Rhinolophus ferrumequinum: one gene and its partners. The main gene of each other region encodes a partner of the protein of the gene in region 2 in a complex. Links are inferred from orthologs where the notes say so. Each region holds a gene or a part of one and is shown on either strand. Other genes may lie near its edges. The genes, in order: ODAD4, ODAD1 and CLXN.

Region 1 (8,082 bases), on a different chromosome or scaffold from region 2:
CCTCTGCCCCTACCCCCAGCTCTGCCTTGCTTTTTTGAGAAGCACAGGAAGTGGGCCTTCACAATGTCAGGATACAGGAAGTTATCAGGACTATTGAAGGCCACTTCCTATGAGCTGGTCATTCACATACATTTGTCACCGGCTATCAGGCCTTTTGGGCTCTGCCATTGTCTGGAGGGGCAGCAAAAAGCTGCCTGGCCGCAGCCAGCAGGGGCTCTTGGACACAGAATGTACTATTGTGCTGAACTGGCAGCACCCCATGGGGTGGGGAGGAAAGTGGTGGGTAAGAAGGGGACGCCAGAAAAAAAAAACACCCAAAAACAAAACGCTGATGTTGAGTAAAAGAAAGTGGAACATAGAAAATATATAGTATGATTCAATTCACAATTTACATAGAGTTAAAAAACCAAACCTAAATTATATTACTTAGAATGGATACACAGGTGGAAAAACTACAAGAAAAGCAAGGCAATGATTATCACAAAGAACTGGACCATGGTTCTTTCATTCAACACGTATTTGCTGAGTACCTGCAATGTGCCAGTTACTATTCTGGGCACTGGAGCAAAAAAGTTGAATGAAATAAGGAAATATGCTCACCCATGAGTAGCTTACCAATCCATAACCAGTAGCAATAACCAATCCATAAAATAAATAAGGAAGTTATTTAGTGTATCAGAAAGTTTGTGTTACATAAAAAACAGCAGAGTAGGGGATCAGGAATTCCCGAATGGAAGATAAAAGGCAAGTGGGTTGCAGTTTTAAATAGGGTGGTCAGGGTAGCCTCATTGCAAAGGATTTGAGCAAAATACATGAAGGAGGGGAGAGGGTCAGTTAAGTGGCTGAGAAGGAGCGTTCCAGGCCAATTCCAGGCCATTTGGGGCTGAGAGAACACCCAGAGCAAAGGCCCTAGGGAGGAGTTTTCTGCCCTTTTCCTCTTCAACGAGGTAAGGTGGCTGGAGGACAGATGATGGGGAGAGCAGCTTTTATTTTGAGTGAATGGGGGACCATTGCAAGGTTTTGAACAGAATGACATGATCTGACTTGCATTTTACATGGAATAATTCTGACTGCTGTGTGGTGGAGGAAGGAGGTAAGGGTGGAACAAGGAGATCTAGTTAAAAGCATATGGAGGGAATTCCAGAGAGAGATGATGGGGGCTCAGACCAAGGGTGGTAACCAGGAGGGGGGGTGGTTGCCTGGGGAGGGAGGTGGCGGTGCTGGGCTGGGGCTGTGATTTGGGGAGGCCTCACAGGAAGAGCCTCTGTTGACAATATGTTTCTTTTTTAAAAAAATTTTAATTTATTTTAAGTGTGTTTTTCCAGGACCCATCAGCTCCAAGTCAAGTAGTTGTTTCAATCTAGTTGTGGAGGGCGCAGCTCACCACTGGCCCATGTGGGGATTGAACCAGCAACCTTGCTGTTTAAGAGCACCGCGCTCTAACCAACTGGGCTAAACCAGCTGCCCCCGACAATATGTTTCTTGACTTACCTGTATGATGATTACATGGGTGTTCATTTTATAATTATGTATTAAATTGTACATGTGATTTTTATGTGTGTTTCTGTAACCTGTGGTCCACTTCAGCAGTAAAAAAGATACAAAGAGTGTAACATAAAGAGCCAGCTGGGATAGGCTCAGATCCAATTCCAGAGCTTTTTACCCTACCAATCCAACCCAAGGCATGGGTCCCAGCTCAGATCACCTATATCCTGGTGCTGTGTGGCTTAGGGCAAACCCTGACACCTCTCTCAGCCTTAGTGAAACCAGAAAAACACTGCCTGACTCCCGTCCTCACTCGAGTGTGGTGAAGATTACAAGTGCTTTATACACTGCAAAAGCACACATTATTATTGTTATTTCATTGTTTTTTAAAAAACAGTTTATCAATGTATATTGATGTACAATAAACTACATATTCAAACTATACAATTTGATGAGTTTTAATGCATGGATACATCATGAAAACATTACCAGAATCAAGATGATGTACAGACCTTACACCTCCTAGTCTCCTTTTACTCCTTTATATTCTTTCCTGCCCTGCCCTATTGCCATGTTCTCAAGAGGCACCATTTGCTTTGGGGTAATAAAGATTAAGTTTGCATTTCCTAGAATTTTACATAAAGGGAATAATATGGTCCTTTTTGTCTGAATTCTTTCAGTCAGCATAATTATTTTGAGATTTATTCATATTATGCATGTATCAATAGTTCTTTCCTTTTTATTGCTGAATAGTATCCATTATACGGATATATAACAATTTTTTCATCCATTCACCTGTTCAACAGATATGTTTGCAGTTTAGGGCTATGACAGATAAAGCTGCTACCGGTAGCAATATTCCCATACAGGTTTGATTTCTGTTGGATAAATTCCTAGGAGTAAAATGCCTGGGACATATGTTTAACTTTTTAAGAAGCTGCCAAACTGTTTCCCAAGTGGCTATAGTCAACAGTGTATGAGAGTTCCAGTTGCTCAACATCCTTGCCAGCTGCTGATGAGGTCAGTTTTTTATTTATTTTAACCATTCTAATGCATGAGTAGTGGTGTCTCACTGTGGCTTGTAATTTGTATTTTCCTAATGCTAATGATGTCAGAATCTTTCCTGTGTTCATTGGCATCTATATATCTTCTTTGATGAAGTAACTGTTCAATCATTTGGTCATTTTTAAAATTTGAGTTACCTGTCTTATTTTAGTTGTAAGAGCTTTTTATGTATTATAGACACACGTTCTTTGTCAGATACATGTTTTGCAAATATTTTACCCCCAATCTATGGCTTGCCTTTTAATTTTCTTAACACTGTCTCTTGAAGAGCAATGAATTTTAATTTTGATGACATCACCCTTTTTAATTTTTCGTGTTTCCCGTGCCCTAATATTTTCACCTAGTTTTGTAATTTTACCCCTTACATTTAAGTCTTTTGAGTTAATTTTTGTATATGATGTGAAGTAAAGGTCAAGGTATTTTCATTTGTTTGTTTTGTTTTGGCATATGGCTATCCAATTACTCCAGCACCATTTATTTGTTGACAAAATTGAATTTCCCTATTGAATTTCCTTGGTGACTTTGCTCAACATTAATTGATCATATACATGTAAATGTATTTCTGGACTCTCTATTCTGTTCCACTGACCTATATGTTGATCTTTATGCTAATACCATTACTGTAGTTTTACAATAAGTCTTGAAAGCAGAGAGTATACCTTCTCTTTGTCCTTTTTCAAAATTGTTTTGGCTATTCTATGTCAGTACTTTGCATTTTTACATAAATTTTAGAATCAGCTTGTCAATTATTAAAAAAAAAAACGTCTGCTGGGATTTTCACTGGGATTGCATTGGATCTATAGCTTTTCTCTTTGCAGTGTTTTTTTTTTTTTTTCCCAATTAACTGCTGGTCACTTCAGCAGTGTGTTCAACTAACCTATGCACCCCTCTTAACAACCTAGAACAGGACACATTTCACTCCAGTGCATTTCACTCCACTGCTCCTTACATGCCTTATGAACGAACTTACACACGTCTGACCTTCGCTCACCTCCTTGTCTACTTAGGTCTTTCAGCGCCCACCCTATTCACACTCAGCTCAAATGTTACCCCATCTGTGAAGCTGTGTCTGACGCATCCCAAATCCTAACTGGAGCATTCTGAGCCTCACACCACTCTGTCCTCATGTCCCTCACAGGCACACAGAACTTTGAGTAACTTAATACCACGTTAGATCGTCATTACTGTTCATGCATCTCTCTCCCTAATTAGACAGAACCCTTCCAGGGAAGGAACCATGTTATTTGTTTATCTTGGTATTAAAGAAGCATTCTTCTTTTAATTCAACCTTTTATTTTACGATAATTGTAGGTTCATATGCAGTTGTAAGAAATAATACAAAGAGATCCCATGTACCCTTTACCCAGTTTCCCCCAATGGGAACATCTTGTAAAACTTTAGTACAACACAACCAAAAGTTGACAGTGACACAATCCACTAATCTTATTCAGATTCCCTGAGTTCTACATGTACTCATGGTTGTGTATATGTGCGTGTAGTCAAGGATACCTTACTACTAGTTAAACTTTAACAATGATTTATTTAGCTCCTACTCTTGCCAGACAGTTGAATTCTGTAAATACAAGTTCCCTGCCTTAGTACGGTCTGATGGTTAGCACCTTGGCACTGGAGTTTGAGTGCATGGGATTCAATCTTTCCTCTGCTACTTGCTAGTTCAGTGATCTTGGGCATGTTACCCAACTTTATCAGTTTCCTTATGTATAAAATCAAGAAATAACAGTACTTTTCCCATAGGCTTGTACTGTGCTTAGCAGTGTGCCTGGTATCCTAAAACAGCACTCAATTCCTTTAGGGTGAGGTGGAGCAATTTATGCTAAGGTTAGGTATAACGATATTAGCTATTTACTGACCACCTTCCATGAGCAACTGTGTGCCTGACACTTCACTTCTGCAAGCAGCCATAATATAGGTCACATGTTTTAAAAGTAATGTAGTAAAGGCAGGGTGTTTTGGAACCTAGAAGAACCTATTCCACCTTTTTTTTTTTTTTTTTGAGGCTGGGAGGAGATAGGGGAAAATATCAGGAAAGACGTTGATCCAGGCCTGCCACTAGCAGGCACTCATTAAATGGGTTAAATCGAAGGCTGAATCCAACGTTATTTTCCACATTGTCTCATGCAAACTCTCACATTCAGAAGGTTTTATTACCTTCACGTTCACTTCGCAGTTGGAAAATTAAAGGCTCAGAGCCCTTCCATGCCAGCCTACAGTCACGCAATTAGGGAGTGAAGACTGTCCAAGTACTACTCCGGCTCCAAGCCCAGTGCTCTCTCCCTCTGATGGTGGTACACGCGGTGCACATATCCTTGCCATATGCGCCTTATCCCTGTTTGGAATTCTGCCCCCAATCCTCTTCCTATTTTCTTGGCTGTAAACTCTGCACAAGATTCAACTACGGAGAGAATCAATGGAACATGCAACAGCCAACACTGTGAAACACCGCCGCCTTAAACCCATCCAACACGCTCTAGCGGCACCGCTGCCAGCGCACGCTGGCGGCGGTTGTTCCCCTCCCCCGCACGATCGAGCAGCAGGACCGGAAGTAGGTCACGTCTCCTGGTTGCTAAGAGACTGGGCTTCCACAAACCAGAGGTTCTCTGGCTTCTTTTCCTACCTTTCTCCACTTCAGCGTCTCTGAATCTCGTCATCATGTCGGACCCAGAAACTGAAGTCTTGCGAAGCACCTTTCCCTCTTACATGGCGGAGGGCGAGCGGCTTTATCTCTGCGGGGAGTTCTCTAAAGCCGCTCTTAGCTTCAGCAATGTGAGTCACTCTGAACCTGTCACCCATCACCACTTTGGATTTCTGAACCGAGGTCCTGATGATGCATGGAGGACCCTATCATTTCTATTATTCACTTGTTCCTGATTGATGCACCACTGTGACAGATAAGCCCCCCCCCCCCCCCGAGCCATTTTCTTCCAATTCCCACTTGCGTTCTGCCTGATCCTTAATAACCCACCATTCTGTGCATTAACAATGACCTCTTCTACTTTTTTACTCAAATGTTTGGTGCTTGGCTGGCCTTCTTCCACAGAGCAGCCTCTACTTCCTGTCATTGGCAGGGAGATTGGGTGGGACACTCCTTGACGAAGTGAAGTGTCTGGCACACAGTTACTCATGGAAGGTGATCAGTAAATAACTAACATTATACATAACCTTAGTATAAATTGCTCCACCCCACCCTAAGGTGATTGAGTTCTGTTTTAAGATACTACGTACTGGTAAGCGCATTACAAACCTATGGGAGAAGTACTGCTATTGCTCAACTTTATAGATAAGGAAACTGATAAAATTGAGTAACATGCCCAAGATCACTGAACTAGCAAGTGGCAGAGGCAAGATTCAACCCCAGGCACTCAGACTCCAGTGCTGAGACGCAAACCATGGACTGTACTCTCCATAAGTAAGCTATTAGATGTTCATGTAACAATGTCTTTTACAACAAATAGCTCGCTTCTTATTCCAACTGGAGTGGCAGAATAGCTCTCTTATCAGCCCCAAGACTCTTGCTAAAGTCAAGCTTCTCAATTGCTACCCAGAGTCTTTTATCCCTCAGATCATCCACCACACTAAAACCAGAAATGACTGACCAGATGAGTCAACAATTGGGGTTTAGGAGCCCTGCCCCTACCCACTCCCCTCTCTCTGGATTATGTTCTATGTTCCATCCCGAGAACCTCAGACAGAGAGAAAAAAACACCCTGAGGGAAGATAGCTTAGAAGTGGCCTTTTTCCATGACAGTAAGTAGCTATTTTCTTTTCCTGGAAAGGTAAGGGAGGTCTTAGAAAGGGGTCGATACAGCCCAGGCGTCAGGAAGGACACTGCTCCACAGACTGTGGTAATGATCTCAAACAGGAGGACAGAGGACATGCGGAGTAGGGAAGCATTCTGCTCCCACTTTTGGGCCCAAATCAGTTTCAGTTTTGCTAGCATTCTCATCTTAACCCCCTGAAATAGTGATTCATTCTCCATACACTATGTAAAAGGAGGGCTAGTGGCATGGCTAACTCAAGTTGCAGATTGTCCTAAAATCTGTTTTGTCAGCCTTCATAATGCTTAGCCTTTGGATTGTATTTTGAGTGTGTTGTGCAGCTATTTCAGGTTTGTAGTTGAACTTGGTGTGCACCAAACGTACTCTATTGTCTGAGTGAACTGCAGGAATCCCAGACACTCGGGGAAATTCAGTACGTCCACAGAGTAGCATGTTCTCATATCTCAACGAGTGGCTTCCACAAAGCTTGTGATTTGACCTTGTTCAAGATGAGCCACTTACAGATAATCCAGTTGACTAAGCAAAGATCGATATTGGGCTGCTTTTGGTCTGATAAGATCCAAAGACCTGTTTATACTGCCCCAAGGAGTCCGCTTGAAACTCTGGCAGGAGGGTTTGGGCTGCTATTTCCAGTCCAGTTCTACCTAACCCTGCCTGGTACCTGTCAACCTGAGTGGTTCCTTTCTCAGGCTCTTCACATTCAGAATGGAGATAAGAACTGCCTGGTTGCCCGCTCCAAGTGCTTCCTGAAGATGGGAGAGTTGGAGAAATCCCTGAAGGATGCTGAGGCTTCACTCCAGAGTGACCCAACTTTCTGCAAGGTGACTGTATGGGTGGAGGACTCCTTCTTGCTTTCACCGCTGCCACTGTCTGCAGCAGCCTCTGGTTAGAAGTGGTAGAAGAACTAGCCAGACTGCTTAGAGTTTGATGCCATTTTCTCTTCATAGGTCACTTGCCTAGATCCCTGCCTCTGTATTCCAACCTTGACCCTCAACCCAGGACCCTTCTATTCCACCACACCTGAGTCCTGTAAGGTCTCATCTGTCCACCTCAACTGGACTTCCTCTCATTTCAGGGGATTTTGCAAAAGGCTGAGACCCTGTATACCATGGGAGACTTTGAGTTTGCCTTGGTGTTCTATCATCGAGGCTATAAGCTGCGGCCTGATCGGGAATTCAAAGTGGGAATTCAGAAAGCCCAGGAAGCCATCAACAACTCAGTGGGAAGTGAGTGACCATGGAGCCTATGTTGTTATCCAGGAAGTCTCTTGGAATACCTTAGGTTTGGAGGAAGGCCTGAGATGCCTTGGGTGAACACCCAGCAGGAGGCCTGCAGGGAGTCCCATGCTTGGATTTGGCTGCTGCTGGTTTTGTTGAGGATTAGGAGCTGTCCACTGGGGGGACCGATCCCCCACCCACTGGTCTGAGCACTGCAGTGTCTGGTTCTCCTCAAAGCCAGATGGGCATCTGCTGCCTCACCACAAGCTATTTTTTTATATATATATATTTTTGGCCTGGTGTCATAGGATAGAATGGAGTCCTGAGCCTAGCTCTCCCTAGTCTCTGGCTTCCTCCCTGACTGCCTGTGCACCAAGGGCTGGCCTTACCTATCAGCTCATTGGCAGTGGGGAGGAGGAAGGAGAGCCAGAGCTTGTCAGAGGGCAGCAGAGTATGGAAATGGCATGGGTTAGAGAGCTCCCCTCGTTTGGAGATCTGGCTGCCTTAGACTCGTGGGG
Region 2 (7,941 bases):
TTCCATCCTTATGCCATTTATTTATTTTTCTTGCCTTGTTGCATTGGCTACCTCCAGTACAACACGGAATAGAAGTGGTGAGAACAGAAATTGTTGTTTCACTCTTAGGGGAAAAGCATTTCATGTTTCACCTTCTCCCACTCAGACATTTCGATGGACGCAACTCCTCCCCTCTAGAACTCAGATGCATCTGTCACCCTCACCCCTCCTTTAGAACCTTGAAAGGATTCAACCCCATCTCTTTAGAAATTCAATGTGATTCCAGCCCCACCCCCTTGGAACTTGGACAACTTGGTCGCAGTCTTTCATTCGGAACACCAGTTCTATCTCCTTAGAACTTTGGACACATAATCCTATCTTCTCAGAATCTTGGGAGCTTTCTCCTCATTCCTTAAGCCTATAGAATGTGGCCTCCACTCTTTCTGGACCATAAGGGAGGAGGGCTTTTAGCTCATACTCTTTAGAATAGGAGCATATTGCTGCCCACCACCAAGATAGGTGGGTCATACATCAGTCCTACTCACTCAGCATTGAGACCCAGATCTGCCAACTCAAACCTTGGCAGAGTCCCAATCCTTGGTCCCAGGAGGAGACTTGGGGTTACCCCTCCCCTTTGCAGACCAGTCCCCAATGCCCCTCACCATTCTCGCTGACATTAATGCAGGTCCACGTTTTGTTGTCATTGGTCCACATGCAGTCATACCAGAGATTCAGGGACTCCTTCCCTGGGAGGGTCCACCAGGACTGGCATGGACAGAGAAACGGGTAGGGATATGAGAGGAAAGTGGGAGTGGTCAGGGAGTCTGTGGGAAGGGTGAGGAAAAGGGTTTAGCAGGAAAGGGGGAGGAGGTCAGGGCATCAGAGGCAGAGCTGAGAGGGGTAGATGGCAGGGGAAAGGGGTCGGGCTGGAGTGACTTTAGAGGAGGGGCGTGTGGGGAGTCTGCAGGAGAGCGGAGGCCCTGTTGCTGCTGCTCCATGGGCTTACCTTGTCCAAAGTGGCCACGAAAAGCAGGATGAGAATGAGGATGTGAAGGGCAGAGACCACCAGCAGGAGGAGTGACATGGCTGCAGTGGAAGCCTGGGGTAGGGGACATCAGGATATGGTCGTTTCAAGAGGTTGGCACAGGGGCAGGTGAGATGCCCGAATCCTCTTGGAGAATGGGGGCTGAGTCCAGACTCCTGGGTTGGAGGGAGGAGGGGGCTGAGGGCCCGGACTCCTGAATTCCCCAGGGGCTGGAGAGGGTCAGGGATGGACTCTTGGGTCCAGGAATGAGTAGGACTAGCAATGTCTCAGAGGACTAGCATCTCCTCAGAGTCCTATCCCTGGGTGCATATGGATCAGGCTCTGAAAATTCAAGTGGACACCCCTCCAGATTCATCAGAAGCTAAGGGCTGTCCCCAGAGACAGGCATCCTTGACTCACCCCACCCCTCTCCTAGGGTGAGGGGGGGTGAGGAAGATGGGGTGAGTCATTGGTGACTCATCCCACTCTTGACTCCAAGTACCAGGGAAACCCCAGCCCCTGGCTGCCCACGAGATCCCCACCCCACCCTGCTGCCAGACTTGTGCCTGCTGGGCACCTTGTGGCAAAAATGGATGAGATGCCTGTTGGGAGGAGAGAGGCCTGAGAAGGAGCCAGCCTCCTACTACCCTTCAGTGAACAGAAGGGGAAGGGGCCTGGAGGTTCCCCAGACTTCGGGTGTTCTCATGCAAAGCCCTGATCTCCGGGTTCTCAAGGGAGAGTGGACAGCTGTGGGGGAAAACTACAGGATATTTTCAGGTGGAGGGCTCTGTTGGGAACCCCCAAACTTTGCCGGGCCCCACCCCTTCCTGAATCCCCACCCAAGTGCTAAGAGATCACTTCTGAAATTACAAGGATTTCCATAGGGGTGTCCTTCCCAAACAGCTGCACTCCCAAGTAAATAAAGAAATCCCAGTTCGGATAACGGACTGGAAACTTACCGAGAGCAGCGGAAAAAGTCAGAGTTGGAGTCTGTTCCTCGCTTGGGCCTCCGTGCCCCGCCCTTCTCCTCCCTCCTTCCACCCTCTCGAGGCCCCCGCCTCCCTCGCTGCCTTCCTCCCTCCCGCACTCTCCTCTCTGGCCCTCTCAGTCCTTCTCCCTTCCAATCCTGGAACCCTTTCTCTCTTTCTCTTTCTCCCTCTCCCTCTCTTTCTCCCTCTCCCTCTCCCTCTCCCTCTCTTTCTCCCTCTCCTTCTCCCTCTCCCTTTCCTTCTCCCTCTCTCTCTCCCTTCCCCTCTCCCCCTCTTCCCCTTCCACCCTTTTCTCTCCCTCCCTCCCTCTCTCCCTTCCTTCCTCTCTCTTTCTTCTACCTCTTGTCTCTCTCTCCTGTCCTATTCCCCTGTCTTTCACTCTTCTCACTTTCCTGGTTTTTCTTCCTCTGTTCCTCTGAATATATACTGACCCTTTTATACCCACCCTCACCGCACCCAGCTGAGGTCTGCAGCTAGAGGGAGGGCCCAGGCACTTGGGTTCTTCATTCTTTGAGCCCCCGCCCACTGCCCCCAGACACGTATCGTTTCTGCGTTTTCCTCCCAGGGTTGAGATGAGAAGTCCTTGGAGGGAACAGAGCAGAGCAGTACCCTGGGGTGGGGCAAGCATCGGGGTGGGAGGGTCCAAGTCTCAGGCCTCTGCTCTGGGTCTTGTCCTGGGACCTGGGGTCTGATGTCTGCATTCCTTGATGGGGTTTAGGACTGGATACTCAGGGATGAGAGTCTGAGGGAGGAGGCCAGATTCCTGCCATGTGGAGTAGGCTGAAGACTGGTGAAATTGGTACCATGGTGGGTGTCAGTGGATGGGAAATGGGGAAGTGTGAACTCTAAAGGGGGCAGGAGGTGGAAGTTAAGAATCCCAGCGCCAGTATTTCCTGCCCTGGGAACCTTGACCAATTCTGTCAACTTACTGAGCCTCAGTTTCCTAATTTGTGAGGTGGGTATAATAATACGAATAATGACAATATACTAATACTGATAATAATAAGTCTGATACTTATTCTAAATGAATAAGGTAATACCAGTACATTAACACACTTAACACATTCAGTTCTTTCTTCATCAGACATTTATTGAACATCTATTAAATAGGAGTTAATAATAAAGAAAACAGAATGTGACCCTACTGTTACTGTGGAGCTTACCTACCTAGTAGAGGGAGACAGAATAAAGAGAAAACATATCAATGAAGAAGACAAATTTCAGATAGCGATAAGGGCCTTGAAAGAAACAAAACAGAGTGACAGAGATAGTGAGTGTGTGTGTGTGGAACCTACTTTAAACGGAGTAGTCAGACTAGGCCTCTCAGAGGAGTGATATCTGAGCTGAGACCTGAAGACAGGGAAGAGGAACCTCGTGCAAAGGCTCTTGAGAACAAACTCAGGTTGTTTGGAGAGCAGACAGAAGGGCCAGTGTGGCTGGAATACAGGGAGTTAGAAGGAGTGGAAGGAAGGGAAATCAAAGAGGGCCCTTGAAGACTAGGGGAGGAGTTTGGACTAATTTATTCTAAGTGCAGTGGGAAGCCATTGGAAGGTTTTAAACAGAAGTACAGTACCAGGGATCTAATGTTAACTATTATTATTGTCAATTTGGGGGTTATTGAATTAGGGTGGGGGGTGATGACTAGTATGTACCTGGGTTTCTTGGAAGAGCTGAATGCTGGTGAATAGTGAGGGACAGGGGACCAGGTGTCTGGGGTCCTGATATGGAATCTGAGAGCTGGCAGACTAAAATTCTGGGTCCCTGCAAAGGAAGGGAACTGGACCATGGCAAGTCTGGGTATCTGATGGTCCCAGAGCTGGGGGCGGGAGAATGGTTGGTTATGTGGATTCCCAGAGGGGGTGAGGAATAGGCAGTTTAGTGACTGGGTGGGTACTTACGAAGACCAGAAAGCTGGGGTACCTATAGCACAAAAGCTAGAGACACACTGGCTGGATTCAAATCCAAGCTGCTTTACTCTGATTTGGGGCAAGTTACTAATAATCTCTCTATGGTTCATTTTCTCTATCTGTAAAATAGGGATAATAATAGTGAACGCATCAGGGAAGTTGAGTAGTGCCTCGTACAGCGTAAGCACTGCTGTATGTGCTAGTTATACTAGGCATTGGGGCCCTGGGTGGGTTCTGTACTGGGGGACCCTAGATTAAGGTCTCTAGGATTTGGGGAAGGGGCAAATTCTTCGGTCCATTGGGTCCCAAGACTAAAAAGTTGGGAGTACAAAATGAGAGTCCCTGTTTTGGGGAGTATGTGGGTAGTCACAAACTTAAGTCTTTGAGCAGGACAGAAGCTGGGGGTCTAGACTCAGAACCCCAAGGAAGATAGAAAGTCTGGGTCACAGAAGGAAAAACTAGGGACTAGAGGGTCACTGCTTTTCAGGGAGTGCAGGCAAAGGGAGGCCAGCCCCCCTCCCCTAACTGATCCGCGGAGGAGTCTAGGTTAGGGAGATGGAAATTTGAGCGGGGTAGGTGGAGAATAGGAGAGCAGGACTCTGAATCAAGTTCCCTGAGTGGTATTAGCGCCCTGGTATTCGTACCCTGGGGATGTTCAGGGGGGTCTCCCATTTAGGGCCCTGTGATGGCGGAGCATCAGAGGCCCCGAGAGCAGAGGTGGGATCTCCCCTTCTTGGGCCTCCAACGCTACGAGCTTAGCGGAGCGCCTCGCGGGCGGTTTCCTCCCACAGGAAACCACAGGCGTTGGGCACACCCAGCCTGCAGGGAGGAGCGCCTACTGCCCGCCGACTCCGGGGAGGCCCAAGTGGGCAGCAGCCGACCACTAAAGGGGCGAGGAGGTGTGGTCAGACAGGGGCGTGACCGGAAGGCGGGGGCGGTGCGAGGAGCCGGGTGCCCCGCCCACTTCCGCCTCTCAGTCTGCGGACTCCGTGGGCAGCGAAGGGATTTTTCGTGCCTTAAGAGGCCGTTGGCCGCGCATGCGTAGTGAGGTGCTGGGAGGACCTGAGGCGGTGGTGAGCATTACTCCCCCTCACAAGTCCCGGCGCCGGCACCGCCTTCCTGCTAATGAAGCCTCAAAATAACGTGGTCCTAAGATACGCTTCTCTCCGGCCCTTCCCGAAGGACCTCGGTCTTCCAGATGTTTTGCTCTCAACCTTGCCTCCAATTCCCGGAAACACAGCCCGATCCTCGCAGGCCCGTGTTCCCCTTGCAGCCCCTCCCGACCGCCCGCAGGCCTTTCCAGCTAGAGTGCCTCCTGGTTAGCCCCGCCCCCACAAGTCTTGGGAACCACGGTCCTTCCAGCGCCCTCCCAGCGGACTCCTCACGCGCTCTTCCAGCCACGCCCCTCCTTGGCCCAAGAAACCCCGCCCTCCTCAGGTATCCGTGCTCCTCCCCTCGAGAGTCCCCGCAGCCCCGCCCTTCACAGGTACCGGTGATTTCCCCAGCCCCAAACCTCACAGACCCTTCCGGCTCCGCCCTTTACAGATCTCCGAGCCCTTCCCTCGCAAACCTCGAAGGCCGGATTATAGCGGGCCCTTCTAGTCCCGCCCCTTATAGGGCCACAGCCCCACCCCTCACAGGGCTCCCCAACAGTTCTGTTTAAAGCCGGGGGGGGGGGCTGGTGGTGGGGGTGGGGGTGGGGGCGGGGATCCGAGCAGGTATTCTCGCCGCCGCCTCCGCCACTCCTCCCCAGCCTCCCCTCCCACAGCCTCTCTTCGCGGCCTCGATCCCTCCCCTTATCTCCCCAGTAACCAGACCACAACAGTGAGCTAGGAGCGCCAAGGACAGGGCAAGCACTCCAGCAGGTAGGGAAGGGGCCTCGTTCCCTACAGCGGTCCTTCCTCTGTGATCCCTTCCCCAAACCGCCCCCTTCAGAGATACCGAGAGCCTAAGGGACCTGTCCCCCCGCGCCAGAATCAGAGCCAAGATGCAAGACAGAGAATGTGAGAGGTGGGAGGTTGGAAGGAGTGTGGGGAGAGGCCAGAGAAGTGTCCCCCCTCCAACCCATTGGGGGAATTGAGACTCAGAGAGAGGCCAGAGCTGATTTTGGGGTCGTCTTCCAATTCCTAATCCCTCTGTGCATTGCCCACCTCCTCCCCGCCCTCTCCTGCTTGCTGTCTGAAGGGGTCCTGTGTTACCGCTGCAGGAGTCCCACCCTCTTTGGGAAAGATGCCTTCAGGATTCTCTGCAGGGAACAACCGCTCCGAGAATGGCAGCGAGGCCTACCTCGAGGGAATGGGTAATTCATACGATCTTTTATTTCACTCATTCTTTTTCTTTATCTCATTCTTTTTGTCAGGGTTCCCAATTCCAGGTCCTGTGCTTCAGAGCCATGGGAACAAGGTGGTCTTCTAGGAGAGCCTTCTAGTGGGGAGCACAAGTGTGGGAATGGACGTGGAGGGAGGCATATGGGTGGGCCAAGACTTACTGCAGGACAAGCTTGAGTGGGGCCCAGAACTCCTCCCTGGAATCACCAAGGGGTAAAGAAAGGGGAGAGTGTTTCAACAGAGAGAACAGCACGTGGCTAGAGCAGGGTTTGTCAATCTCCGCACTGTTGACACGTGGGGGTCAGGTAATCCTTTGTTATGGGGACTGTTCTGTGCCTTGTAGGATATCTAACAGCATCCCTGGCCTCTACCTACTACAGGCCAGTAGCACCCTCTGCACCTCCGCTACCTGCCCCACATTGTGACAACCAAAAATGCCTCCAGACAATGCCAGATGCTCATGGGGGATAGAATAGCTCCAGGTTGAGAACCATTGGGCTGTGGGAGGTGGGGAGCTGGTGGAGACTTGGAGAAGTGGATAGTCAGGTCCTACAGGGCATTGAACACCAGGCTGAGGAGTTGAGACTGTCCTGGGGGCGCTGGGGCGCCAGGGAAGGCCTGGGAGCCGGGAAGGGCCAGAGTCCGCTCCGAGTGTAGAAGGAGCCCCTGGGGCTGTGAGGGGAGGCTGGGAGGTTGGGGAGAAGGCTGGAGTGATAGTCCAGGCAAGAGTGGATGAAGCCTCAGCCTAGGAGAGGGCCTGAGAGTGAGGAGCAGGAGGGTGGGACTGAGGATGGCTCAGCAGCTGGGGGTGAGGGGGAAGGAGGGAGCAAGACTGCTGATTTGGTCCCCTGTCTTCAGCTTTCCCAAGTTCCAGGTCCTGTGCAGTGGATCCTTGAGGACCATGAGGCCCTCCAGGAGCGCCCTCTAGTGGGGAAACAGATGTATGCCCAAACCGGAGAAGGAGTGGGTTTTAGGGAGGAAATCTCAAGGTTAGCAAGGGGTACCTTGCTAAGGGATGAGGAAGTTTGAGGCAGTCCTAGAGGGGTGTTGGGGACTGGGTCTGCAGTTCAGTTGCAGCTTGTGAGACCCTAAGGGAGCTAGGATTCCTACCTAGGTCCTAGGGAGGAAGGGGCTGGGCCTGGATTCCTATTGAGTCCCTTGCCTGGTCTGTCCTTCAGTGGACTGGGAGCTGAGCAGATTGCTGCGGCAGTGCAAAGTGATGGAGGGTGAAAGGCGGGCCTACAGCAAGGAAGTCCACCAGCGCATCAATAAGCAACTGTGAGCCGAGTGCCTGGGTCTCAGAACTGGAAGGGGGCTGTTGAAGGGTTGGGGGTCAGACTCGGGTCTGAAGCTGGGGCAGGCCCAGTGTATCTGGCCTTTAGTGATGCTGACCTTTGCCCCTTGCTGGCCTCCCCTCCTCCTCCCTGCCTGGGCAGTGAGGAGATCCACCGCCTAGAGGAGGTGCGGGACAAACTTCAGGTGCAGATCAGCGTCGCCCAGAGCCAGGTCAAGCGGCTGCAGGACAATGAGAGGCTGAAGAACATGGGCCGCTTGCTGAAGTGCCAGGCCCAGGTGCAGGCCGAGGTCAAGGAGCTGCAGGAGCAGGCCAGGACCCTGGACAGGCAGGTGGGTTCTGAGACCAGACTCTGGATCTTGCTTAGGGGCAAGTGTCGTAATTGCTTTGAGACTTAGCTTCCTCATATGAAAAATGGGGT
Region 3 (7,782 bases), on a different chromosome or scaffold from region 2:
AAGCATTTAAAGATATTCTAGCACCCATTGTGCCACTGTTGTAGATGATGTGAATATTTATATGCAACTATTCAGTCGTACTTTGGAGAAAAAAAGTTTTCATTGAAAGAATATAGGCACAAGTACACATTTGCTCACACACATAATTGCATGAAGGTTGGTATTTACAAACACTGAGCTAATTATTTGTTTTCCAATCCCCAATTGAGGTATGTAAGTAGAAGGGTTATTGCTTAGCATTAAGAGCATTAAAGTGAGTTTAAATATGAATTATAGGTAAAAGATGGGGATGATTTTATTTCACAAAAAGACAAAATTGTGGTTGAATATTTTTAAAAACAAGGATGGAACCTGTGTGCATGTAAATGAAGACAGAACATAAGAAAGGAGAAATCACATCTAATCCTACTGACCAGAACAGGCTTGAGTACGATTTCTTATTTGGGGTACCACAATGTAAGAGGAACATTGAAAACTTTGGAAAGTAAATAAATTGATTAAATAGTAGACAAGAGTATAATGACTATAATTTTTAAAAGAGCTGTTAGTTGCTGTGGCAAATGGTATATCAGTTCCTCAAAAAATTAAACACAGAATACTATGTAATCCAGGGATTCCACTTCTGGTTATATGCCCAAAAGTATTGAAAGTGCGGGCTCAGATACTTGTACACCAGTGTTCACAGCAGCATTATTCACAGTAGCCAAAACGTGGAAGCAACCCAGGTGTTCATTGACAGATGAATGCATAAACAAAATTTGGTGTATATATACAATGAATATTATTCAGCCTTAAAAATGAAGGAAATTTTGATATATGCTACAACATGAATGAACCTTGAAGACATTATGATGAGAAAAATAAGTCAGACAAAAAAGGACAAATATTGCATGATTTCATTTACATGATGTACCTACAGTGGTGAAATTCATAGTGACAGGAAGTAGAATGGTGGTTGCCAGGGGTTGCTGGAAGGGGAAAATGGGGAGTTATAGTTTAATGGGTACAGAGTTTTAGTTGGGAGAGATGACAAGATCTGGAAATGGATGGTGGTAACAGCTGTGCAACAATGTAAATGTGCTGAATGCCATACAGTTGTACACTTAAAATGGTTAAAATAGTATATTTTATGTTATGTGTATTTAACCACAATTTTAAAAAGTTCTAAAAGTAAAAAGAGCTGTTACTGGTTGGGGAAGAAAAGCCTGCATGAAGAATGATGCACTCTATTCATATATATGAAATGCTAGCAAAGGGGATGTTGAATAGTCTTTTTCCATCTCGGCTGAAATAAAAATTAAAGAATATTAGCTTAATTATCCAAAGGATCCAAGGTTAACCATAAGAAAATTTTCTTGCTGAAATGTTTCTTAAATTCTAGAATACAATACTAAATGAAATTGAGGAAAATTCAAGAATGGCTTTTCATCTTTTTGGATGGGTTTCAGTTTGTTCTTTAGATCATATCTATAGAATGGTGGATTAACTAGATAATCACGTAAGATATTTTCTTCTTCTCTGATTCTATAAAATTTATCCATTTCATCCTAGTGGGATTGTCATTTGGCAACTAAGATATGACTTTAGGGGAAAGGTCCTCTGTTTAAAGAAATTTTAAATTATTTTAATGTCCATGACTTTCTATTCTATGTCTATAGAATTTAACTGGTAATCATCAAAGTTTTGAAGGCTCACTTTAAAACTTTTATGTAAGTATGAAAAGCATAAGTATGAAAAACTTTGATGTAAGTATGAAAAGCAGTATGACTGCTTTTCCTGCCATATTGTCACTTATCTTTTAATACACTCACTTTGATTGTTCACAGAATGTCTGTTGCAATATATTCCAAAGTTATTGAACAGGGACTAAATTAAATTCAGCATTGTGTATAGCAGTTATTGCATTGTGTATTCAAAATGTTTACTAGATATTTTAGAAAGGTCTGGTCTTTTCCCAGAAATGGAATTATTTTAAGAAAAACAACAATGGAACAAAACTCTCATCAGATTATAATAACAACAATGCCTTCAATTATAGGATGCCTTTTTTCCCCCTCAAAGTTTAAGATGCTTATACACACTATAACTTTCATTTACAGCACCACTCCACTAGAAGAGCATTTTTAACACTCATTGCATTAGATACTAAATATGATCAGAAGGCACTAGATACTGTAATCTCTAGAACTACATTAAAACATGTCTGTTCCTCCTTCTTTGCACAATGTTGGGGTGGTCTTGGGATTATGTTTCTCCTGTTTCTTCAAGTGGCCAGTAGTTTTGCAAGCAGCACACAATTTATGAACTTGCTCATGTGACAATATTTTCCTCATCTAAACCACATCCTTAGCTTCTCTGTCCAGGTACAGTTTTGGTATTCAGTCTGAATACCGTTCTATGAAAATCTAGGACCACATTTTAGAATATGCAATTGGAGCAGATGTCTTTAATCAGTGCTCATTTTGTCACTTGCAAAGTCTTCTTTACCTTGCAACCCCACCAGCAACTGGAAAGTGGAAGTCTACAGTTAGGAACAGATTCTTTACCACGTGTTTAGCTTTGGTGAGTTCTTTGGTTTCCAAACAAACCTCCTTGCTCTGATATAGGTTTCTTTCCTAAAGATGTTCAGATATTACTAACCATTTTCCCTATGGATTTCTTGGTAGGTGACCAGAACTTGTATCCTGCCAGTTTATTTGCTCTAGAGAGCTAGAACGCAGCTGTATATTGGTTGTGGTACTTTTCTTGAGTCCGTGGTTTTTAGCACTTATTCTAAAGGCTAAAACCACATGTGTCTCCTGGATACATAAACCAAGTTTCTATAATGTAAAGGTAAATTAAGAAGAGAGCTTGAAAAGTAAATGTACTTGTGGGAATGCACTACTAGATACCTGGACACCTGGATATGGGCTTTCAAGGTCATTGGCAAGCATGGGTGTCCGCCCCAAGGAGCTAACACCTGGGTATTTCTTTCCAGACTTCTTTTTAGGGGTGGGTATGGAGGGGGTTCAACTGGCAGTAAGGCTTGGAGGCGGAAAGCAGGTTGAGCAGTGGACATTGTCACCGGGTAGAACACCAGAGCCTCTGCTCATCCCACACGTGATTCTTACTTACAATGCTTGCAATTTTTAGTTAATGTGTCCGTCAACTTCTGCAGCTTCTTGCGATTCATGCCGGGACCTCAATGAATCGGGCTGTGGCAGTGTCTAGGGGAGCGCAGCTGCCGGGACCCTCCCGAGTACTGGGCCTGGGGCAACCAACCGGATCTCCACAGCTGAGTGCCTGCGCGGCGCCAACACACAGAGCAGCTATGGCAACTCCTCAGCGCGCCGTTGATTGGCTCCTGGGCGTGCGCGGGGTGTTTGCGTATCCCCAACATACTGCGTGGCCATGGCAACGGCTGGGCCGGCCGCCTATTGGCTCCTGGGGCGGGGGTAAGCATTCCCATTTGGAGGGTCCTGGCCAGGCACATTGCAGAAGTATGTTCTGATTGACGCTGGAGTTCTAACTTTCAGTTGTTGCTGTCTTTTGGTTTCACGGCCTCTTTCATGGACTGCACTGTGCATCATCAAGGTCTAAAAATACATCGTGAGTGCTGTGTGAATTATGTTTTTCGTGGTGGATGTTACACCAAGGGAAGCTTAAGATTGATCTTCAGGGAGATCTGGGGGAACTTGGAGGAGCTTCAAGAATTAGCAGGTGTGTTATCCAAACAATTGTTTTATCAGGTACAGGAGGGTGAGGAGCTTGCTATTAGGGCTGAGCTTCTCTTTTGGTTGTCAGTCCTTTTGCTATGACACCAGAAGGGAGTCTGAAACAAGATATATTTAAGTTTTGGGTGATGTTACTGTAAGCAAGAATAACTTGGAAGCTGTTGTATTTTTTGTTTGTTTTTTCCCTCCATTCATTCTTGGGGGTAGGGGTAGAGGCTGTCAGTGGAATCTGTGAAAAGCCACTGGCAATTTTTAAGCTAGTTAAAGAGAGATCCTCCTAAATAGACAGGCCACTTGGTCATGGGGTACAGTCCAATCTTGCTTTTCTGGAAAATATCCCAATAAAATTGATCCTTTACTTATTTGAAAGACAGGTCCTGTGACTGCAAACAAAGGATAGTTCTTACAACTTAAATGTGGGAGGAATTTCTGCTTTTTTTAACCACAGATCTAACATCCTCTTTGAATTAGGACAGCCATAGAAGGAGTTAGCTCAGCCAGGAGTACAAAACCTATAGTATTCTCTCATGTATTTACTTGTTTAACTTCAGAGGGGAAAATACCTTTGAATACAAATTACTTTATAGCTTACATATTGTCATCATTAGACTGAAAATAGAAAAAAAAATTGCCAACTGTGAAGAAATACAGAATGAAATATTTCCAGTGTTGAGGTCTCTGATTTTCTTTCCTGTTTCAATTGTTTGTTGAATGAAAGATTGAGATGGTGTTTGAAACTATAGTCAAAGATACTTGGTGAAGGCAGGGACAATATTATCCTAAAGCAAATTCCCTGAGAATAGTTAAGCAACGTGAAATGATAGTGATTATGAGTTTCCAACAGTTTTCTGGTTAAATAGTATTCCTCTATGCCCTCCTGTCTAGCAGCTGTGACATTTCTAATGAGATTGTAGAGAACAAATGGGAAGGAGTGGACATATTCTAATTATACTCACCTGTGAAACTCTAGTAGCTTTTTTTAGATTACAGAATTCTAGCAAATATTTAATTCATAGAGATTGTTACTAGTGCTCATTTCAAAAGACACGGAACCGAAAGAGTGGTTGTCACTAGTTAACAAGAGAAGCTGTGGGCTCCATATGCCTCTGCTGGTAGGTCTTTTAAGAAGCTCCCTCCTACTAGGTTTTCTGAAGGGACTTTCTGCTGGCATGTCTTGGGGAGCAGTACTCCACTGGTGGGGAGGACATTGATGGGCCTGTCCGGGCATCCCTGCAAACATCATACACTGGGAGCTTGTTGAGCACCTAGGGGTGAACTAATCAGTTCTTAATTCACAGGTTTCAAGCCTATGACCCATCAGCGATGTTCCCTTAAAGGGGAAAAAATGAAGTAAGGACAATACCACAGAAGGTTGAAATTAAAAGAGTCAAATCTGTTCTATCAGGCAAAAATTCCTTAACCTGCAAATAAAACATTGTGAGGTGCCCTCCTCCCATTCTTCCCTCTCTCCAAGTTCTTTTTTCCATGCTATTCTTTTAGCAGAAAATTTCCAAATACAATGTTATATGAAACTCACTTCTCTAAGAGAGTGGGCTACAGAGTTAACCTCCCTATAAGGTCTTGCAAATCCTTCTCAGGGAAAGAAAGATATTTATTAAGGACATGTTTTGTCAATATATTGGTAAATTTTACAGCATTCCTTACAATCTTATGACGTTTTTGAATTTAGTATTTTTAGACTTTAGCAACAAGCTATAGGCCTGATAAAGTTGGCCAATCTCATTTCAAGGCAAATTGAAATTTCTATTTGTAGTTTTTAATTGCTTGTGTTGAGAAGACACAGGATATCTTTCCCCTAAGGGCTCTTTCAGAGTAAGCAATTAAGCCAGAACAGTTACCTCATATCAAATCAATCAACAGTGGAATAATAAAATAAAAAAACTGTTTAATTTCTACTGTACACAAATTTTGCTGTGCATGAATTGATCATAGAACTTTCCAAAATTCAAACAACTTTGAGCTGGATACTTTTGTAAGTAAAACTAGTACCAAAAAAAGTACATAAAAGTGACTATTAATGCTATAAATGTTTCCTTTAATTTTGTGTGCAAAACAATATTCCCTTTGATTTATAATTAATTGGAATTTTACCATAAATAACTTTGACCTTGAATTGATGAAAGTGTTTTATTTAATGTAGACCTTTTATGATAAAGGTATTTGGAAGTGTTTAGGACATAACATCATAGAATTGATTTCCAAGTATATTACAAATCTATTATGAAATTACTTTAACAAAAGGAAAAATATAAAAGTTATACACATAATTTAAATTCAATGTTACCAATTTTATTTTGTAGAGATAGTGATGAGAAATCTGACGTGATTTTAGCCAACTATTTAGTAGTTGAATCTCCACTGCTCTCTTGCCACTTTCCCCTTTGGCTGTTATGCTGAAGTGACAAGCTGCTTTTAGTACCTCTAACCACCCAGTTGTCTCACTCCCAGACTTCTACATATTCTCCACCCATCCTCAAAGGCAACTATTCAAAGCATTTTTGACTTCCCTATATAAAGTGAATCCCTCCATACCCCATCATCTTTCTCTGCCTTTCTCACTCTCACTCACTCTCTTGGTACATTTAAGTCTTTTTGTATCTCTGTATCCATCACCTATCTTTCTCTACTTCTAAAGTTTGACAACACAATCCACTTTCTATTATCTGTGTTAGGGAGAGTGGTGGAAAAATCACCCGAGCAGAGATGATACCCAAGTTTCCTGCCCCCCCACAGCACCCCATTGTGGAGAACCCCTGTGAACATAACAGTGCCTTTAGATGGGGCTTCGTACTAAAGAAGAGCTTTTCCAAAAATATATCCTCAATATTCACTGGTGTTAACACATTTCTATATAATTTTTAAAACCATAATCTATTGACTGGTAAGTACAGTAATGCCTAAGGTTTACTAGAGATAGGGTTTTTATATCATACATGTAATTTACAAAGTTGTAAATTAAGATGTGGCAGGTGATAAGTAATATGGTGATGGCAATAATGTCAGTGGGTTGAGTAAGTAAGCTGCTCCTCCAGGTCTTGAGGAGCTCACCAAGAAATCCTGCAGAACCCACTGAGCTCCTCCCCATTCAGTACTGGGTCATGGGTGCCCAGAATTAGGTCATGGCAACTGCCCTATCTGCATAACTACCACAGGGGCAGTAGATACCTGTCCCTTTCCAAGGGAGCCCAGAGCACCTGCTAGCATTCTAACGCTAATCATAGCTCTCTGCAGCTGTCACACACCTTCTACACAGAACTGAACCAAGCTTATCCTCTCAGACCATGTCTGGAATTGCCCCCTGAGCCAACACTGAGCAGAAGAAGGCCTGTACCAGTCCAAATATTGAGACCACACTCTTATAACCACATTCCCCATTTCCATTGTTTTTGATTACTCAGAGGAACAGAAAGCTCTCAGAATTGCCTTTCTCCAATAAGCTTACCACCTTGTGAGACTATTTCTTAGTCTAGATCTCTCTAACCCCTTTTAACCATACACAACCAACTCCTTTTCAGTTGTGAACACTTACCTTACATGGTCCATCTTTGCACAAAGCCGTCTCTCCACCTTTCTTCTCTGAAATCTGCTTCTCCCCTGAAGATACTGCTTCTTCTGTAGCTGTTCAAAAGAAAAGGCTACCTATTTTCTCATACCTACTCACTCACAGCCTGAAGGAAGTCAAAACCCTCTTGATCTTGTGTCACCTTTTCAGTATATTAGCTTTATCTTTTCTTCTCATCTACCGTCTCACAAAGTGTGGTCATGTTCATTACCTCCACTGCTGCACCTCCTGTTTTATCCATTCTCTTTGCCCTTACCTAGCTCCTGCATCAGACTTCGTCCTCTGTCTCATGTTTTAAGCCATCCAAATGATTGCCAGTGATTTAGCTAAAACACAAACCCAGCCCTGTCTTCCTTCTGCTTGATATTTAAATGCCTTCTTGATGCCTGCAAGATAATATTTAAGCCTCACAGCATGGTTTCCACCATTTTCTAGGACCTGGCCTCTGCCTGGCTTGTAAGCCTCTTCTCTCACCAGCTCCTCTCC

The links.
Region 1: ODAD1 (region 2) and ODAD4 share a complex: the UniProt entries of both Homo sapiens proteins name them as parts of the outer dynein arm-docking complex. The link is inferred for Rhinolophus ferrumequinum from reciprocal best matches to the Homo sapiens genes ODAD1 and ODAD4.
Region 3: ODAD1 (region 2) and CLXN share a complex: the UniProt entries of both Homo sapiens proteins name them as parts of the outer dynein arm-docking complex. The link is inferred for Rhinolophus ferrumequinum from reciprocal best matches to the Homo sapiens genes ODAD1 and CLXN.

What each region holds. Positions count from the first base shown.
Region 1 is NC_046304.1:37,833,946-37,842,027, forward strand, and holds the start of ODAD4 (outer dynein arm-docking complex subunit 4), read left to right. Parts: upstream 1-5,031; 5' UTR 5,032-5,220; coding exon 5,221-5,334; intron 5,335-7,036; coding exon 7,037-7,168; intron 7,169-7,422; coding exon 7,423-7,573; intron 7,574-8,082. UniProt on the Homo sapiens protein: Component of the outer dynein arm-docking complex (ODA-DC) that mediates outer dynein arms (ODA) binding onto the doublet microtubule. Plays an essential role for the assembly of ODA-DC and for the docking of ODA in ciliary axoneme.
Region 2 is NC_046298.1:43,909,759-43,917,699, reverse strand, and holds the start of ODAD1 (outer dynein arm-docking complex subunit 1), read left to right. Parts: upstream 1-4,601; 5' UTR 4,602-5,336; exon of another isoform or gene 5,337-5,385; intron 5,386-5,608; exon of another isoform or gene 5,609-5,707; 5' UTR 5,708-5,764; intron 5,765-6,083; 5' UTR 6,084-6,128; coding exon 6,129-6,198; intron 6,199-6,689; exon of another isoform or gene 6,690-6,708; intron 6,709-7,084; exon of another isoform or gene 7,085-7,167; intron 7,168-7,404; coding exon 7,405-7,504; intron 7,505-7,662; coding exon 7,663-7,852; intron 7,853-7,941. Other genes in the region: EMP3 (epithelial membrane protein 3), read right to left, coding at 642-744, 986-1,063. UniProt on the Homo sapiens protein: Component of the outer dynein arm-docking complex (ODA-DC) that mediates outer dynein arms (ODA) binding onto the doublet microtubule. Involved in mediating assembly of both ODAs and their axonemal docking complex onto ciliary microtubules.
Region 3 is NC_046297.1:29,220,517-29,228,298, forward strand, and holds the start of CLXN (calaxin), read right to left. Parts: upstream 3,270-7,782; 5' UTR 3,173-3,269; coding exon 3,115-3,172; intron 1-3,114. UniProt on the Homo sapiens protein: Component of the outer dynein arm-docking complex (ODA-DC) that mediates outer dynein arms (ODA) binding onto the doublet microtubule. Seems to regulate the assembly of both ODAs and their axonemal docking complex onto ciliary microtubules.